Mytilus edulis: one gene and its partner. Each later gene encodes a partner of the first gene's protein in a complex. Links are inferred from orthologs where the notes say so. Each region holds a gene or a part of one and is shown on either strand. Other genes may lie near its edges. The genes, in order: dynein regulatory complex subunit 7-like and dynein regulatory complex protein 8-like.

Evidence for each region.
Region 2: dynein regulatory complex subunit 7-like (region 1) and dynein regulatory complex protein 8-like share a complex: the UniProt entries of both Homo sapiens proteins name them as parts of the nexin-dynein regulatory complex. The link is inferred for Mytilus edulis from reciprocal best matches to the Homo sapiens genes DRC7 and DRC8.

What each region holds. Positions count from the first base shown.
Region 1 is NC_092346.1:2,213,553-2,223,537, forward strand, and holds the start of dynein regulatory complex subunit 7-like, read right to left. Parts: upstream 4,232-9,985; 5' UTR 4,192-4,231; coding exon 4,010-4,191; intron 2,880-4,009; coding exon 2,708-2,879; intron 2,213-2,707; coding exon 2,087-2,212; intron 1,456-2,086; coding exon 1,261-1,455; intron 183-1,260; coding exon 24-182; intron 1-23. Other genes in the region: kanadaptin-like, read right to left, coding at 9,864-9,913. UniProt on the Homo sapiens protein: Component of the nexin-dynein regulatory complex (N-DRC) a key regulator of ciliary/flagellar motility which maintains the alignment and integrity of the distal axoneme and regulates microtubule sliding in motile axonemes.
Region 2 is NC_092346.1:91,314,611-91,324,705, forward strand, and holds the start of dynein regulatory complex protein 8-like, read right to left. Parts: upstream 4,397-10,095; 5' UTR 4,323-4,396; coding exon 4,292-4,322; intron 1-4,291. UniProt on the Homo sapiens protein: Component of the nexin-dynein regulatory complex (N-DRC), a key regulator of ciliary/flagellar motility which maintains the alignment and integrity of the distal axoneme and regulates microtubule sliding in motile axonemes.

The DNA of each region.
Region 1 (9,985 bases):
TTACAAAATATTAAAATATTTACAGCAATTTTGTCTTCTTCCTCTTTTCTCCTTTTCTCTTCCTCTGCTTCTTTTTCAGCTTTTTCTTTGGCCGCCTGCTTCAATTCAAATTTACTCCTCAAATCACGAGGAGGTTTAACTGTATATTTCTTTATTTCTTTTTTCTTCTCTTCTTCTTTTTTCTGTTTATCCAAATAAATATTAAATCGAAAGTTTAAATTGTTGTTTCACTGGTTTTGGTAAATTTATAATGATGTGTATGACATAATTGAATGTTGCTTAGGAAATGTATTATACTCAAAACATACATGCACATTTATATATTGTAAAGGTTAAAACTGTTGATAATTTCAGCATCTTAATTTCCATGTGAGTACTAAATTCTCGCGTTAATGATACATTTTTAATGCAAATCAATATTGAGTCTATCTGTAAACCCTTTCAAGAATGATTATGACACATATTTTATATGATTGTGAATTAAATAAAAAACAAGAACGTGTCCACAATACATGGATGCCCCACTCGCACTATAATTTTCTATGTTTAGTGGACCGTGAAATTGGAATAAATTCTCTAATTTGGCATTAAAATTAGAATGATCTTATCAAAGGGAACATGTATATTAAGTTTCAAGTTGATTGGACTTCTACTTTATCAAAAACTACCTTGACCAAAAACTTTAACCTGAAATTCGCACTATCATTTTCTATGTCCAGTGAACCGTAAAATTGGGGTCAAAACTCTAATTTGGCATTTAAATTAGAAAGATCATACCATAGGGCACATGTATACTAAGTTTCAAGTTGATTGGACTTCAACTTCATCAAAAACTACCTTGACAAAAAACTTTAACCTGAAGCGGGACAGACGAAACGGACAAACGAACAGACCAGAAAACATAATGCCCCTCTACTATCGTAAGTGGGGCATAAAAATAACCAGCAAACAGAAGTTTCCTTGTATACAGTACAAAATTTTTGACAAAATAACACAAATGATGAATGTGCAAGAACAAAGTTCTGCATTTTAACAATAAGTTACATTTTCTAAAGGTATAAATAATATTAAGACAGTCTGTTCTGCTCGAAGTTTAAAAAAACAGAATATTGTAATTTTTCAATTAAGTGGTATTGTATTTTATATATTCATTTTATATATATTCATTTTATATATATTCATTTTTATATATATCCATTTTATATGTATTCATTTTATATATATATTCATTTTATATATTTATTTTATATATATTCAAACCTCTTCTTTCTTTTTCATCAGTGGACAGATCTCCCTCGATTCGTCTGCGAGACATGTCTCATGTGTAGCATACCCGCTGACAACGTAAGAATCGTAACCGGCTCCAGCTAACAGGGAACACAGCAATGTACTGTACTCAAAACAATTCCCTTTCTGACGTTTTAAAACAGATGGTGGCGATATCAACCTCTTTGGCTGGAAAAAAAGACAAAGATATCAATACAATTCAATGTTATCACTACCATTTATTTTTTCAAATGAAACAAGTAATCAAATATAAAATGTTATGGCATCTCTATCCTGACTCTAGAACCATATAAGTCTTAATTTTGTTAGGACAGAAAATGTATTCTTTATGATTTATATTGATCAAGAGTACTGGTAAGTTTCTCTTTTATGGGATGTTATATCTTTACACAAGTTTATTATATTTTGAAGCTTAAAGAATATAGTTACTAACAAAAAAATAATCTATGGTTAAATCTTGACTTGATGTAATAAAAGTACAAAAAATAATACTGTTAAATCAGAAACTCAACACATTTTTCATTGGATTGGTTCACATCAAAATGATTATAATGCACATTTTTACTATTTGGATATTTAATAACATAAATTTGTCAATAAATGACATGAGTCAAACTAATAAATTTCATATTTTGTATTTTTCACATTTTGCATTATGAAACCTCTGCATTTACTACTTAATTTAATAAATCATTGAGACTTGTAACCAAATAAAACATAAATTTTTTTATTATTAAGATGTTAATTTAAACTACCATTTGACTGATGTAAAATTGTTGTTGTAAATTATGACAATTACCAATTCATATGGAGGCTCTAATGTCTCAAAATTCAGATAATCTGCAACAAATTCTGAACTTCCCTCCCAACCGTAAAATTCTTTAAATTCAATCTGTGTTGGTCTGATGGTTGTACATACAAATTTCTAAAATCACAAATAAAATATATATATATACATACATGCATTTATTAAATGTAATTTACAAATAAAATAGAAATTTTAACATGAAGAAAGCAATACAGCCTGTTAAATAAACCCTTCTAAACTCTCTTTTGCAGTGATCAATGGTGAACTCATCATACATACAAGAAAAAAATATCAAACTCAGTGGTCATATAATTAATAATTCAGGTTTTAGAAAATTCTTATACAAAAGTGATTTAATCTATTGACCAAAATAATATTACATGTACATGTAATACCTGGGTTTCTGTTTTATTCAGTTATCATGCTGAAAAATAGGTTATGTAGGAGAATGAATTTATTTTTCAAGCATTTTTTAACTGGTTTAAACAGGGAAAACAATCTGATTTTAAAAGAGCTTTTGCAATAATAACAAAATAATCTGAGGATTAGAGTTGGTCGGGTTTATAGCAGAAAAACATGTATTTTGTAAGAGCCTCATTCATAATTAATTACCTCTGTCCCACATTCATTGATTGGGTTGAGAAGAAGAGGTTTCCTGTCTCTGTATAAGTGTACATATTGTAGTCTAAAATTTTCTGCATATTGTAGCACCAAGTTTTCTTTTGGTAAATTGTCTTTATAGGAAGCAGGGAATTCTGCTGGATCAAATTCCTGGGCTGTTAGTCTGGAAAAAAATCAGCATTAAATCAAATTCATTAGATGTGAAGACTGGTCTAATAACTAGATAAAGCATGCACTCAATGTAAGGATACATGTATATATAATTTATTTGTATGTATATTGGTCTTTTGATATCCACTGTGGGATTAGTTTTATAAACTCTTTCTTTATTTGGCACTTTTCTGATTCTGGTTTTACTGATAAATATTTGATATACAAAATTATAAGCCTGGTATCTTTGAATCATATGATAGTTTATGTAGCAACTAGCAGTAGTAAGTGCCTGTGATATCAAAACAGAACAGATACAAGTTTCAAACAAGCTAGAACGAATACAAAGGCAAGCAGCACGCTTTATAACAGGCGACTACAGAACTAGGCTGCATAACAAACATGCTTACAAAAATAGAGCTACAGGAACTAAAATTGAGACGCATGAGCCCCGCTATTGATCCAGACGACTTCCTCAAATCAGCAAGACCAAGACGAACCATCACAGCTAAAAATTTTCAAGCCACAAACATAGTTGAAAAACATGTGAGGAACAATACCAGGTGTTTTGACATTCCTACTAGTAAAACACCGCAACATTCAAATTCATTTTTTGTGTCCACAATAGTAAATTGGAACCATCTAGAAGACACTATTGTTCGCGCAACAAGTGTAGAGAGCTTTAAATCTGCTCTGGTGAAACATCAATAAATCGACGGCGCCTTCACTCCCGTTGTATAAAAGCCAGAATAGGGCTCTTCACGGTTAGTTCGGCCATATTGGATAGGGAGCAGATTTTCATAATAGAGGTAAAAATGGTGTGAAAAATACGGGAAAACATCATTAAAACAGAGCTGTTGCTTGGAAACACACATAGGATTTCCCACACTTTCATACCATTTCCACCTCCTTCCAAAAAATCTGCCCCCTATCCAATATGGCCGAACTAACCGTGAAGAGCCCTATTGGTAGCTACGACGTACCCATACAGATACAGATATAAAACCATGCTGACAGTCAGCTAATTAAGTTGTGGTGATGACCATATTGAGGGCATAGTTTTTTTTATTAATTTGTTTATTTACAATTCGCTCTTTAACTTATTCTTGGCAATGGATATAATGCATCAAAACATTGCCTTACTCTTGAATCGTTGGAGGATGCACCACTATTTTGTCAAGCTCCTTTTTCAACGCCTCAGCATCGTCGGTTAATTCTTCGGCTGTTTTGCCTTCAGCTTCTTCTCCTAGTTCATCTTCATCTTTATCTGGATCGGGGGTCTTTGTATCTTCACTCGGTAAAGCGAATTCGTCCTCCGAAGCCATGATTTTACAAACGAGACGAACAACTCATTATTTAAACACAATACGCGCTCATAGCAACAAACTCTCTTTGAAATATAGTGCATCGACAATATAAAAATCATGATCGCTCAGAAAATAGATATGTACGTAATGCTAGTCAAAATTTAAAGCATAACAAATCATGGTATTTAAATTGCATAAAATACTTCTGGAAATCATAAAACAATTAATTGCTAATTAAAGATAGTCGCGCATTAATCTATTAATTTACTTCCGGTAATCTTTTACAGTTATTTCCCTTGTTTTAGTTACAAAGTTAGCTTTCAAAAAAAGCTTGACATAGTTCTGATCTCAAATATTACAAATCAGAAAATTTAAATAAGACTAGTACTTAGTCCAGGGACGTAGGTGTCTTTTTTTATGTTTGGGAATAGTTATCAAAAGTACCAGGATTATAATTGTTTATAATTTTATATATAAAAAAAATCTAAATATTTAAAATTAAAACCACTAGACTACTCTTAAATTTTGAAGTTATCTATTTTGAATTTTTATGAATATGATGTGAATAGTGCAGAATTGTTTAATTTTGTTAAATTCTTAGTTGGTGTTCGTTTTTGTCCTGTTTTGTGAGCTTCATCTTTTTTCATTACTCTGGAGTTCAGCATTTTTGTTAGAATAGTACTATTTTATAATCAGTTTGTTTTTGTAATTACCTCTGGAGATCTAATATAAAAACGAAAGAAATGATAAAAAAAACCCAATTATTATAACTACCAAAATTATACTTTTTACAGGGTTTGTAATAACATAAACAATACAATGGGTGCCTTTCAGGAGCACTTGAGATTAATACCCCGTTTTTGGTGGGGTAAGTGTTGATTAGTCTTTATTTTTGTATTTTGTGTACTATTGTCTGTCTGTTTGTCTATTGCCTTGTAGTCATGGCGTTGTCAGTTTATTTTTTAATCTATGAGTTTGAATGTCCCTCTTGTATCTTTCGCCCTTCTTCTATTATAGTTTTGTCCCTTATTTCTTGAAGTAATTTTAAATATGTTTAGATATTATAAATATGTATTAAAGACTGATGATATCCTTCTCTCTGAAGCTCTGAGTGTCTCTACATCACTAAATAGTTTAAACAAAAATAGTTGGTATAGTTGTATTGTTATTCTTATGAAATATCTTGATATATAGATCTTAAACTTGTTAAAAATTCAAAGATGGATTTAAAATCCCTAATTTACCGGAAATTAAAACTGAAATATTCTTGTATTTGGAAATCTGAACTTTACAATGATAGACAAAATAAACAGCATGGAAATAAACTAAGAACTTACAGATTATGTAAAGAAAATATTTGTATGGAAAAATATTTATTAATTTTGAATGACGATGAAAGGTGACTGCTCACTAAGTTCAGAGTCAGTGCACATAAATTAGAAATTGAAAGAGGCAGATATTTGGGGCCTCGAGTGGAGGATAGAATATGTAAATTATGCAACACCGAAGTTGAAGATGAAATTCATTTTCTTCTTCAGTGTCCTGTTTTAGAAAATAAAAGATCTGAATATATAAATTACTTAAATAAGGTAAACAAAAACTTTAAAAGCCTCCCAACTAAATCAAAATTAATATGGTTAATGTCATCTAAGGATAATGTTATAATTTAAAAAGTAAGTTTATTGTGTACTTTATTCAAAGAGAGAAATTAAATACTAGAAACAATTACGTCACCAGTAGTTTGTCCATCTATATTATATTGTAAAACTATACATATTATTCCTGTAGAAATTATTCTGCTGAGAAAGACTTGATTTTGTTTAATTGTTAAATAATCAATGTAATCAATATGTAATCACTTGTATGAAATTGAACTTAATTGGACTGCTAAAATTATTGGGCATCATGTTTGACAATAATTCTTATATGATTTGCATATCTATAAATACTTGAATTTAATTGGTCAATTAGAATTTTTCTCTAGGTTTACACTTCGATAAACCATGTTTCCAAATCTACTTTCGTAATCTATTCATGCGTGATACACATTCTTGCAGGGATACTGGGAATTTCAGCAAATTGAGATTTAAAAAAACAAATGCATAACAGTTGTTTCTATTCTAATGCATAATAACAAAAAAGAAATTAAATGAATGCACTAAAGCTACGAAAATGTATAAAAATTAATTTAAATAAAATTCTGCGAAATTTCATGAAGGATTTGGCGAATTGTCGTCATGGCAAAACACAACGTCATACGAATGAAAACTTTCAGGGGAAAGATCATTTCGTTTAATACGTCTAGCTTCAAATTCGAATAATATCTCATTTTAAAAATGAAATTTCGGAGGAAGGTGCTATTTTGTTTTAGATTCCATTGCATTTATCGAACATTAATGAATTATAGAAAGTCAAGATGGCGGCCAACTCCTTAGTTACGACCTGTCAGTTGTGCATGTGATGGTGATTATAGTAGCTTTACACCAAAAAAAATGTTAATAAAAATCGAGAATATTTGGCTTTAGAATTATAAGAATTAAACACATTTTTTCTAGAGGTCATTGATGTGTAAACGGGGCTCTTAGCCACAAACTTTACATAAGGACTTTTATTCAGTTTGTGAGTTAATCGCCCCGGTTTAATCCTATAATAAAAAATCTTTGTATTTGTATTTGTCATGTCTTTTTTTTATGTTTTCTGCATAAAATTTATATCTATCTGTATTCCTTGGGTCTTGGTTGTTTTCCCTATCCAAGACTAGGATTACTTAAGGGGGAGAAGATGACGGGATTTGTTGTGTGAAATGTACAATAGCACAGAAAATTCCTGTCAGGAAGGAAATCTTATCATGATGCTAAGAAATATAAAATATTTTAAAATCTATAGCATTTGACCTCCATGACTAATAAAACCAATGCACTTCACTGTTAAACTTAAATTGATGAGCATTTAGGCAGCAACCATTTGATTTTCTGAGGGGGGCTATGGTTTTTTTTTCTGGACAAATTATTTTTTTCGCCAAGTCGAAAACAATTTTTTTCTTTCAATTTTAGCATTACATATAGTGGCAGCTGAGGGTGAAACAAACAAATTTTTTTTCTCAGAATCAAAAACAAATTATTTTTTTCTCCTAAAAATGGAAACAAATTTTTTTTTCCAAAAAAAACCATAGCCCCCCCCCCCCCCCCCCCCCATAAATTCAAATGGTTGCTCCTTATAATGAAGGTCATATTACAAAGTGTGATAAAGATTGTGAGTGATAAAAAAAAAACATTTAAGGGTCACTTAGCTACAAGATACCTAAACAAGGGTGCACACGCTGAAATGTCTTGCCTTCTTTACTAATCATTGATATTATATTGATAGTCTTAATATAAAGCTTTATTACAACTGTCATATAAACTTAACATTAACCAAGAAAACTAAACATTGACCAATGAACCACGAAAATGAGGTAAAGGGCAAATGAACCATGCCAGGCAGGCATGTACAGCTAACAATTCTTCCATACAACAAATATAGTTGACCTATTGCTTATAGTTTAAGAAAAACAGACCCAACACAAAAACTTAACACTGAGCAATGAACCAAGAAAATGAGGTCAAGGTAAAATAAACCTGCACGACTGATATATAGATCATAAAATATTTCCATACACCAAATATAGTTGACCTATTGCATATAGTATTAGAAAAAAAGACCAAAATTCAAAAACTTAACTTTGACTACTAAACCATGAAAATGAGGTCAGGGTCAGATCTTATCTGCCAGCTAGACATGTACATCTTACAATCATTCCATTCCCCAAATAAAGTAGACCTTTTGCATACAGTATAAGAAAAACAGACCAAAACACAAAACTTAACTATAACCACTGAACCATGAAAATGAGGTCAAGGTCAGATGACACCTGCCAGTTGGAAATGTACACCTTACAGTGCTTCCATACACAGAATATACTAGACCTATATATTGCTTATAGTATCTGAGATATGGACTTGATCACCAAAACTTAACCTTGTTCACTGATCCATGAAACGAGGTCGAGGTCAAGAGAAAAATGACTGACGGGCATGAGGACCTTGCAAGGTAGGCACATGCCAAATACAGTTATCCTAATACTGAAAATTCAGAAATTAATGCGAGGTTTTTATTATTGCGAAAAATGCAACAGAGTTGTAAACGCAATAATTTAAACTCGCATTTTGAAATGTTTTATATGAATTAAACAGGATTTTTCTCAAAATGTCAAAATCATAAAAATAAAAACCACATTTAAGTCTAAAATGACAAAATCGCAATAATAAATGCACGCAATAATTTCTGAATTTACAGTACTTATAATAAGAGAATTGAACATTACAAAAAATCTTTAACTTTTTCAAGTAGTCACTGAACCATGAAAATGAGGTCAAGGACATTGGACATGTGACTGATGGAAACTTTGTATCATGAGGCATCTATATACAAAGTATGAAGCATCCAGGTCTTCCACCTTCTAAAATATAAACCTTTTAAGAAGTTAGCTAAAGTTGCTGCCGCCGCCGGTTCACTATCCCAATGTCAAGCTTTCTGCAACAAATATCGCAGGCTCGACAAAAGTTGATTTCTGAATTTTTTGTTCAATCATTAATGAAAATGAAACAGTGAAATAATAATTCAATTTAAGCAGCCAGTAGTTCTATTTTGTCAAAATAAGTGATGAAAACTTCGATGATTAGTTATTCACTTGCAAGTAAATAAATCGACTTCATTGAATTTGTATTAATGCGAACTTCAATTTAACCCCTTAGATAGAGATGGATTACACATGATTGAAGTGTGTTAGGTTACTGAAAGAAAAGAATGTCAACATTGAAAGTGAAACAAAGGTGAATCATTTAATTGACTGATTCGATCCACAAAAAATCATTCTTTTACAGGAAAAATTGTAAATTAACTTATTTTTTAACCGAAAACATGAAATCAAAGAGACATAGAAAAATCCATTTGCACGAGGACCATGTCTATTTATATCAATGTTTATGTTTATATCCTGTTATGTGACCGTCAGTTGTTCCCCTTTAATCCATTCAGAATTTCAGACACCAATTTCCAAAATTTCAATCTATTTAGCTGTGCCCTAGTGCTTTGGCCTGTTCAGATGAAAAACCAGAGAACATTGTTCATCCAATTATGGTGCAGACCTGATACTATCGGAAGAAAAAAACATTAGACCTTTGGCTCAATGACATCATTCAACATAATAAACATGTATAACATAAACAATACTAGACCAAAAAGATATATAGAGAATATACACAGTGATGACTGCTGTAACCATATTTTGACTATTTTACTGATTATGTCTGTTTTGTTCACGCATCGTTGTAAAAATAATGGAATTTGATACGACTGTCATAAAAGTGAGAGGTTTAGTGCTATAAAACCAGGTTCAATCCAACATTTTCTACATTTGAAAATGCCTGTACCAATTCAGAAATATGACAGTTGTTGTCCATTCATTTGATGTGTTTTATCCTTTGATTTTGCCATTTGATTAGTGACTTTCTGTTTTGAATTTTCCTCGGGGTTCAGTATTTTTGTGATTTTACTTTTTAGCAAACAAAAGGCTCCACGATAATATATCTTAAGCAAAATAATAAATCATATATTGTACAAATATATTTATTAATAATCAATAACAAATTTTAGTAGCCCAACTTTGCATTTAAGCTTGTTTTTCCATCTCCTGACTGATCTGAAAAAGAAAGAAGAGGAAATTTAATATTCCTGAATTTCCTGTCTATCATGTCTCAAAATAACTAAAAGG
Region 2 (10,095 bases), about 89 Mb from region 1:
ACTTCATCAGCAACATTTTATATTGGCAAATTGAAGTTATTTACATAAAGTTATTGGCAAATAAAAATAGAAAATGACATCATAGTCATGTCTGGCAAATGTCCAACATACATTATCTAAAAACATTTTAGATAAGATAAGGAAAAAAAGCTTCATCAGCAACATTTTATATTGGCAAATTTCCAATGAAGTTATTTACATAAAGTTATTGGCAAATAAAAATAGAAAATGACATCATAGTCATGTCTGGCAAATTTCCAACATATATTATCAACTACTATTCTATACAAAGAAAGATAACTCCAATTGAAAATTAATTGCTATAGTACAATATTGTGCAATTAGATATTTCTTGCTATTGTGCAATACTGTGCAAATTGAAAATTTCTTGCTATCGCACAATACTTGATATGGAATCCTGATTTGGACCAACTTGAAAACTGGGCCCATAATCAAAAATCAAAGTACATATTTAGATAAAGCATATCAAATAAGCCCAAGAATTTAATTTTTGTTAAAATCAAACTTAGTTTAATTTTGGACCCTTTGGACCTTAATGTAGACCAATTTGAAAACTGGACCAAAAATTAAGAATCTACATACACAGTTAGATTTGGCATATCAAAGAACCCATTTATTCAATTTTTGATGAAATCAAACAAAGTTTAATTTTGGAACACCATTTGGACCAACTTGAAAACTAGGCCAATAATTAAAAATCTAAGTACATTTTTAAATTCAGCATATCAAAGAACCCCAAGGATTCAATTTTTGTAAAATCAAACTAAGTTTAATTTTGGACCCTTTGGACCTTAATGTAGACCAATTTGAAAACGGGACCAAAAATTAAGAATCTACATACATAGTTAGATTCGGCATATCAAAGAACCCCAATTGTTCAATTTTTGATGAAATCACACAAAGTTCAATTTTGGACCCTTTGGGCCCCTTATTCCTAAACTGTTAGGACCAAAACTCACAAAATCAAACCCAACCTTCCTATTATGGTCATAAACCTTGTGTTTAAATTTCATAGATTTCTATTTACTTATACTAAAGTTATGGTGCAAAAACCAAGAAAAATGCTTATTTGGGTCCCTTTTTGGCCCCTAATTCCTAAACTGTTGGGACCTAAACTCTCAAAATCAATACCAACCTTCCTTTTGTGGTCATTAACATTGTGTTCAAATTTCATTGATTTCTATTTACTTAAACTAAAGTTATTGTGCGAAAACCAAGAATAATGCTTATTTGGGCCCTTTTTTGGCCCCTAATTCCTAAACTGTTGAAACCTAAACTCCCAAAATCAATCCCAACCGTTCTTTTGTGGTCATAAACCTTGTGTCAAAATTTCATAGATTTCTATTAACTTAAACTAAAGTTATAGTGCGAAAACCAAGAAAATGCTTATTTGGGCCCTTTTTGGCCCCTAATTCCTAAAATGTTGGGACCAAAACTCCCAAAATCAATACCAACCTTCCTTTTGTGGTCATAAACCTTGTGTTAAAATTTCATAGATTTCCATTCACTTTTACTAAAGTTAGAGTGCGAAAACTAAAAGTATTCGGACGCCGGACGACGACGACGACGCAGACGCCAACGTGATAGCAATATACGACGAAAAATTTTTCAAATTTTGCGGTCGTATAAAAACATCACACAATTGACTTTAGTGTCAAAACATGTAAATAACAGAATATTCATGAATCAGCAACATTAACAAGCATTCACAGCAAATGCAAAACAATGAAACTTTAAAGACTGCACATTTTGTTACTGGTTTAATCATGGGCAAAGTCAGGTAGGGTTTAAGTACGCCTTTGTGGAACCCTTAAAATGGAAAAAATTAAACTTGGGCATACTAAAAATAGAAAAAAAATCTAACTTGCTCAGAGGTTGGCAAAATTATAAGGTTTACACCCTAAAACTCAAATCCTGGACCAACCCCTGATAATGCTGTAAAAACTGGTTGAACTAATCACTTTCCGAAGGAAAATGACTGTACCATAACATTCTTAATTTTAAAAGTACAAATGTTTCTGGAATAACCTTTAATAGGTAGCTCAAGACCAAAAAAGTTCAGAAGGCAAATGCATAAAACGGTTAGGCATAGAACCAAAACTTCAAAAGGGCATAAACTATCTAACAGTATTTAATGTATACTGAAAGGGATGTTATCTTAAGGGTCTAATCTAGTTTTGGAGAGGGAGAACTGCTTCCATGAGAGAGTATGGAGAAGTGGCCAATTTCTTTGAGAAGTGAAATTCGGAAACGTTTTGGTTGCATGGTGTTTTCCTGCTTAAGAGAATTTTTTTGTATATGCAACAAAAAAATATACTTGCAGTTGTTTCATATGATATTGTACAAATGTAATTATTGAAAAATCTTAATAAAGCTTTAGACAATATATAGTTGTTATTTATTTATTCATTCATACTGTCAACTTTAAATTAAACTTAAATAAAATGTGTTCCTTGGACATCCAGTAGTAGGCTAGGTATATCATGATTGCCTTCATTTCATGTGAAGCTGCCTTAATTTAGTTTTTAAAGTCCAGTTTATCTGATGAATTCCACATGACTGTACAATATAATTTATATCACAACTTGTCATTATTTTGTAAAACATTTGTGAATGTCAAGAACATCATGTCAGTTGTAAATTGGGATTCCTGTGAAAGATATAAGCTTATAAATGAAGATATGTGGAGCAAACTTCTTTCTTTTTTTATATAATAGATATCTTCTTTATTAAGAAATGGACCTGAATAAAATCCACTGCTGAATATAAATGTTTTATTTTGATTCAGTACACATAATGATATTACAATACAAACATAAGAGATTTTTGTCGAATATAATGCTGATCACAAGCTGGCCATGTGTCGTACATTTGCAATCACATTATCCATCAGCTGTCCTTCTACCCTTTTATTTTTCAATTTTTAGTCAATGAATATAAAAATTCCACAGATTATGCGAGATAAAAATCGTTGTAAAATGATAATTCAAACAGAGGCTAAGATTACTATTTGAATTGTTTTGAATGTTAATACTTTGCTATGAAGTAGTCGGCCAGGTAGATTTAGATTTTAGAGATTCTCAAATTTTTTTAAAGATTTAAATCATCGTTTTGCCAGCAAAATTTTAGGCTCCTGGCTGATCTTGGTTTTATTGCAATTATATAATTGAGAAGCTTTAATTTTATTTGTCTTGTATTTATGTAATATATGTATAAAAAATTCTTTGCAAAAACAAAGCAAACATACATTTACCAACATGACCAAACATATTACTTACCAACACCCCCTTTGTAAAAGATAATGTCATTTCAATTTCAGCTCCTTTAGATTCATTACTTACTATAGTTACATACTGTTAAAAAGAATATTGTGCACATGGTGACACCACCTAATGGTGTGTCTGATCTTTCAAATTAATATCTTAAAATTACCACATGTATATCTCTGTTCTATTATAAATTGTTCCTGTTTTAATTTGTAATGTATTCCTTATAGGGGGTCACATTTGTGAAGGGGGTCTGATCCAAGATCCCGCAAATTGTTTAGTGAGAATCCTGTTTTAGGTTTCTCTTTGCCGTAATAACTCATGTAATTTCCAATGTCCCGCTAGACTTTGTATCCCTTTTTCACACTTAAATATGAGACATTCATGTGTCAGGCTTAAAAAAATTGGCCAAATCGTGTCAACTTGGACCCAAATTGAGACCCATCCTTTACAAAATGTTGTCTGTTTAGTTGTATTTTTAACAGTGGCATATATTTATTTAGCATGAGTTTTGGCTATAAACCATAAAACCACAAGTTTTTGCTAACCATAATACAAGGTTCAGCCAACTATTTATTTCTTAAAATGTTCTGTATCCAGTCAGGAATATGGTAGTTGTTATCAATTAGTCCTTTTTTTGTATCATACATGTTTGGTTTTTTTTTTCAGTTGTTTTCCTCCTATATCATATATGTCGTTGATGTGTTTCCGATGTGTTTCCCCTGGGTTTTAGTTTTAACCAGTTTGTTTTTGCTGGATCGATTTAGTTCAATTGCTTATCGTTATCCTGCTGTTGCTTTAATTTATACAACTACCAGCAAGCTGTGCATCTGAAAATAATAACAATATAAAAAAAAAATTGGTTCTCGTGAAAGTTTCATACAAATATTAGGATAATTTATGATTCAAAACTGCAAATTTATTTCCTCGACCTTCATCAGTAAGGGTATATATTTATGGAGAAGTTGTTTAATAATGATGGGATCGTGATTGTGAATTCCTACCCGCGTTTTCCTTCTGTTCAGCATCACCCATCTTGTTTATATTGGTTGCTAATCAGTGACCTTGACTTGTAATTATCTCCCCCTGTGACAAGTGCGATTTGTAGGGAAAACGAATTTAGGAATCAATGACAAATCGTCCCACTGGAAAATCGCCCCACACCTAATCGCACCACTTTTCCACAAATCGCCCCACTCTGGTTTACCAACTCGCCCCACTTATGAAAAGGGTAAAATTCTATTGAAAATAGGTTGGATAAATTGTCCCAATTATGAAAAGGGTTAAAATCCTTAAGGTCTGCCAACTAGCCCCAATCTGAATCATGACAAATAGAAAAACCACGATAAAAAATTATTAATGCCAACTCGCCCCACTTATAAATTTCTCATTTATGTATGTTTTCAAACCATAAAAAAAACTTACCAATCAAATTTTCATCAACAATAAAACCTGCCTTGTCTTTTTACTAACAAAAACAAGACCCACGCTTATTGTACATCTTCATCTACATCATACGACGATCCATCATTACATTGATGACTATACGTCGGCGCATCGCAAACAGACACTTAATAAAATGTAATAACCAATGAGTGCAATAATTCAAAAATAATTTTGTGCAAAAACAAAACAAAAATTAACACATTTACATATTTACAAACAGGTTGGATATCTAAATATACTGACTCTGGATCAGTATTTTAAACTGATCCAGGGAGTTAACACTGATGACGTTTTGTGGAAGTGAATTTCACAGTACAACTGTGAATGGAAAAAAGCTGTACTTGAAGTAATCTGTTCTTGTGTTAAATGTTTGGTATTGTAATGAATTAGTGAATCTGGTGTTTTTGACTGGCTGTGGTAAAAGGTAAAGGTTTGGGTCTACTGCAATGAGATGGTGTGAGATTTTGTACAGCATAGTTACTCGATTGATGTTTCTGCGAGTTTCAAGTGACTTCCATTGAAGATAGTCAATCATGGGAGTGACACTACTGGTGTTGTGGTACCTGTTGGTGACGTAGCGTGCTGCCCTTCTTTGTACTTTTTCAATGTTGTTTTTTTTTTGTTTTTGGGTGTGAGGGGACCAAACTGAAGAGCAGTATTCTAAATTCGAACGTACCATGGATTTGTATGCTAAACTTTTTGTTTCTTCCTGGTTTATTTTTAAGTTTCTTTTAAGAAAGCCTAAGATCTTATTTGCTTTTGCAGTAATGTTGTTGATATGTGTGTCCCAAGACATGTTGTGAGAAAGGGTGATACCGAGATAATTGTGCTGACGGATTCTAAAATGTGGCCTTTTAATACGTAGTCATGTTTGAATGGTGACTGTGATCTTGTCACAGTGAGAGAGTTGCATTTTTCTGGATGGAATTGCATACCCCAAGTTTGTTCCCATTTGGCTAGGCAGTTTAGGTCAATTTGTAGTATGGTACTATCTTGGTGATTTGTTATGTTTCTGTATAAGATACCATCATCTGCAAACAAGCGTGTTTTTGGTGTTACTGCTGCAGGTAGGTCATTAATGAAGATGAGAAAAAGTAGTGGACCCAAGACTGAGCCATGGGGCACCCCACTTACCACAGGCATTTGACTAGATACCTCTCCGTCAAGGGCAACCTGTTGCGTTCTGTTATTAAGGACCCCGGCAATTCCAGGTATTTCCTCTTATGCCATAGTTATCCATCTTCCTTAATAGTTTTTTTGTGAGGTACATGTACCTTGTCAAATGCCTTGGAAAGGTCTAAAATAATAAGATCGGTTTGTACGCCATGATGGAGGTTACTAAGTAGTTCATGACATAAAGTAAGTAGTTGTGTTTCACAGCTGCGTTTAGATCTGAAGCCATGTTGATTATCCACAAGGATGTTATGTGTGTCCAGATGTTTCAGTATGTTACTTACAACAATGTGTTCAAGCAGTTTGCAGCAAATGCAGGTTAGGGAGACAGGTCTGTAGTTACTGGCTAGGTATTTTTCGCCTTTTTTTTTAAAATAGGGATCACATTTGCCTGTCTCCAGTCTGTTGACACATCTCCTTTCAAGAAAGATGTATTGAAGATGAAAGCGAGATGAGGTGCAAATTCAGGTGCAAATTGTTTAAGAATGCGTGCTGGTATTTCGTCTGGACCTGTAGCTTTAGATGTATCAAGATTTTTCAAAAGTTTTTCTATGCCATTTGGTGTAACATGAATTTCGGCCATAGATAGAAAGTTGTCTGATAGAGTTGGTATTTTTTTTTTTTTTTTTTTTTTTTATTATTTTCAGGTGTAAAAACAGAGTGGTTTTGTTTATTGAGTATTTCAGCTTTTTGTTTTGTGTCGTCTATCAGCATACCCTCAGATCTTAATTGTGCAACTCCCGAACTGTCTTTTTTGGTGGACCTAATATAATTCCAATTTTGTTTCTGTTTTTGCGAGGTTTGTAAGCTTTCGTCGTAACAAATGATGTTTTCCAGATATGTCCAATAAGCTTTTCTTGTCTCTTTCTGAATCAGTTTTTTTGTTTCCCTGTACTGTTTATTAATTTTACTATGCGATTCTGTTTTCATTTTTTTTGTAAATGAACGAATGGGCATTCTCTCTAATATTTACTTGAAAGTAACATTTGTCTTCAATGATTGCTCGTTAGGGTTGGATTATTCTTAACTTCAATGATTCAAAGACAAAAGTAACCAATCCGGTAAATGCTTAGTCCAAATAATTATGACGTCTGACAAGGCTATTACGTAGGAAGGCGTCGCAGAAAGAAAAAAAATAGCCTTGCCAGACGTCATTATTATTTGGACTCAAAGTAAGTGCTATGATAACAAATTGCTGTTAATTGAAATCCTTAATATTTAGAATTATAATTTCAGATTTAGTAAAACATCATTTGATTTCAATAATAATAATAAAATAAATTTTCTTTTTTTTTTGCATTCTGTGTAGATTAGTTTTTTTAAGGGGCGAGTTGGGGCGATTTGCCAGTGGGGCGATTTGGCCTGCTTCACGAATTTAGGAGTCTAAAAATGTATTCTGTTCTGGTTAAGAAAATCTCTCCTTCAAAGGAACACTTCGCACAATGATGAATAAAATGTTTATATATCTATATATACTTAAAAAGACATATATACTCAATATAGCATTCCACATTCATGGTCAATTCGGCACCAAATTATATTTTAAAATAAAAAAGATTTCAATTTTAAAATATTTTCATATTTTTGTGGTGTTTAATTTTATCAGTTACATTACAAGATCGTTAAAATCATCACATCTTATTATATTATAAAGCAGTTAAAATGGTTTTTTTTTCTAATTCCATGAATAATTTTTGATTAGATTTCTATTCGATTAAATTTTCTCAATTAAATAATTAACATGTTTTTTATATTATCACTGATCGCACATGGAGAATAAACTAGGAATTGATAGGAAACAGCAAATTAAAGTTATTTCTAGCATATTTATGTTCATATTGATTTGCAAAGCACGAAACTTATTGAAATAAATGGAAAACCAAAACCTAACGGATTTAGAGAAAAAAAGGTTAACAAAAAAAAAATCTTGTAACTGTTCTGTCCCCAAGAACTTATATGTTCCGTATGTCAAAACGAAGATTTTACATTGTCAGGTAGTGCCAAAGGCTAAAGATAACAGGCAAGTCGTGCCTACCTGACATTGCAAACCTCCACAACGAACAAGAGACGATGAGTATATATAGGACCTAAATCAGACATACTTTCATGATAGAGATCAATAAGAAAGAAATCAATATTTTCAGATTTACAGGTACAAAATTGACATTTCTACAATTTGACAATCAGAAATCCTCTTTCGAAAAACAACCGAAGTTCTGCTAAATTTATTTTAAAGAACAATAATTCAATCGGAAGAAACTGCTATTAAAGTTGATATTGACAAAGGGAGAATATGGACATGGAATAAACTTCCTTGTTCAGTGGCGGATCCAGAAATTTTCATAAGTGGGGGCCCACTGACTGACCTAAGAGGGGGCCCGCTCCAGTCACGCTTCAGTGATTCCCTATATAAGCAACCAAATTTTTTCCCCAAAAAGGGGGGGGGCCGGGCCCCCTGGGCCCCCCCTAAATCCGCCTCTGCTGTTGCCATCACAGGTATTTGTCTCAGATCCCCCTATATACCTTAATATAACACTTCTGACGAATCACGATAAGGATATTTTGCCGAATCAATGTAGAACCTCGCATTTTCCCGTTTCTAAGCCTCATACAAATAAATTTCATATTTCAAGACACTATACGTATATTGTCTAAATACAATTCAAAACAATAAAAGAAAAGAAAAGAAAATAAGAAAGAAAAAAAAAACGACAATGACAACTAATTACAGGTTGTATTCCCTCTGAATTGAAATTGTGTTGCTGAGAAAAATTATAAGGTTCTTTTCTTTTTTTTTTTAAATGCATAGAATATTGGTGATAATCATATCAAACATTTCTAATATAACTTCAAACGCAATCTTTTCATGAACACGATTTATATAGAAATAAGAAGATGTGTTATGATTGCCAATGAAACAAATAGCCATAAACACCAAAAAACTCACATTTAACCGTGTATAAAGTAAACCATAACAGACACCTAATTTCTAAATGTGCAAACATTCTAAAGAGAACATCAACGACCTGATTTCAACTACAGTTATGCTATGTGCTAAAATATTTTTGGGAACATCAACCAACAACAAATATGACTTATATTTTCTGACCTTCAGACAGGCACACAAGGAATGTTGCGGGTTAAACATGATTGTTTGAGCGCTCAGCTCTGGTCTAAGATGGAACACGTAACACAGACTGTACGACTTGTATATATGATGACTAACATCACCTCGTTTGAAGGAACGTTATTGGTTCTTTTGTTTTTCTGCATTTACAAGTTTGTACAAATTGTTCTGGTCAACACGAACAAAGCAAAAACAAAAGAATATTATACAGACAACACCCAAAACAATGCAAAATGAAGAACATAACGATAACATCATGAACAATGCAAAATGAAGAACATATCAACAACACTACAACAATGCAAAATGAAGAACAAAACGACAACACCACGAACAATGCAATTTGAAAAACAAAACGATAACACCCCAAACATTGCACGATGAAGAACATAACGATAACACAAAGAACAATGAAAAATGAAGAACATAACAATATCACCACGAACTATGCAAAATGAAGAATATAACGATACCACCACGAATAATGCAACATAAAGAGCACAACGATAACACCATAAACAATGCAAAATGAAGAACAGAAGAACACAACGATAACACCATAAACAATGCAAAATGAAGAACATAACGATAACACCATAAACAATGCAAAATGCAGAACACAACGTTAACATTCCCAAACAATGCAAATGGAGAAACACAACGATAACATTCCCAAACAATGCAAAATGAGAAACACAACGATAACATTCCCAAACAATGCAAAATGAGATACACAACGTTAACATTCCCAAACAATGCAAAATGAAGAACACAACAATAACATTCCCAAACAATGCAAATGGAGAAACACAACGATAACATTCCCAAACAATGCAAAATGAAGAACACAACGATAACATTCCCAAAGAATGCAAAATGAGGAACACAACGATAACATTCCCAAACAATTCAAAATGAGGAACACAACGATAACATTCCCAAACAATGCAAAATGAAGAACACAACGATAACATTCCCAAACAATGCAAAATGAAGAACATAACGATAACATTCCCAAACAATGCAAAATGAAGAACACAACGATAACATTTTCCCAAACAA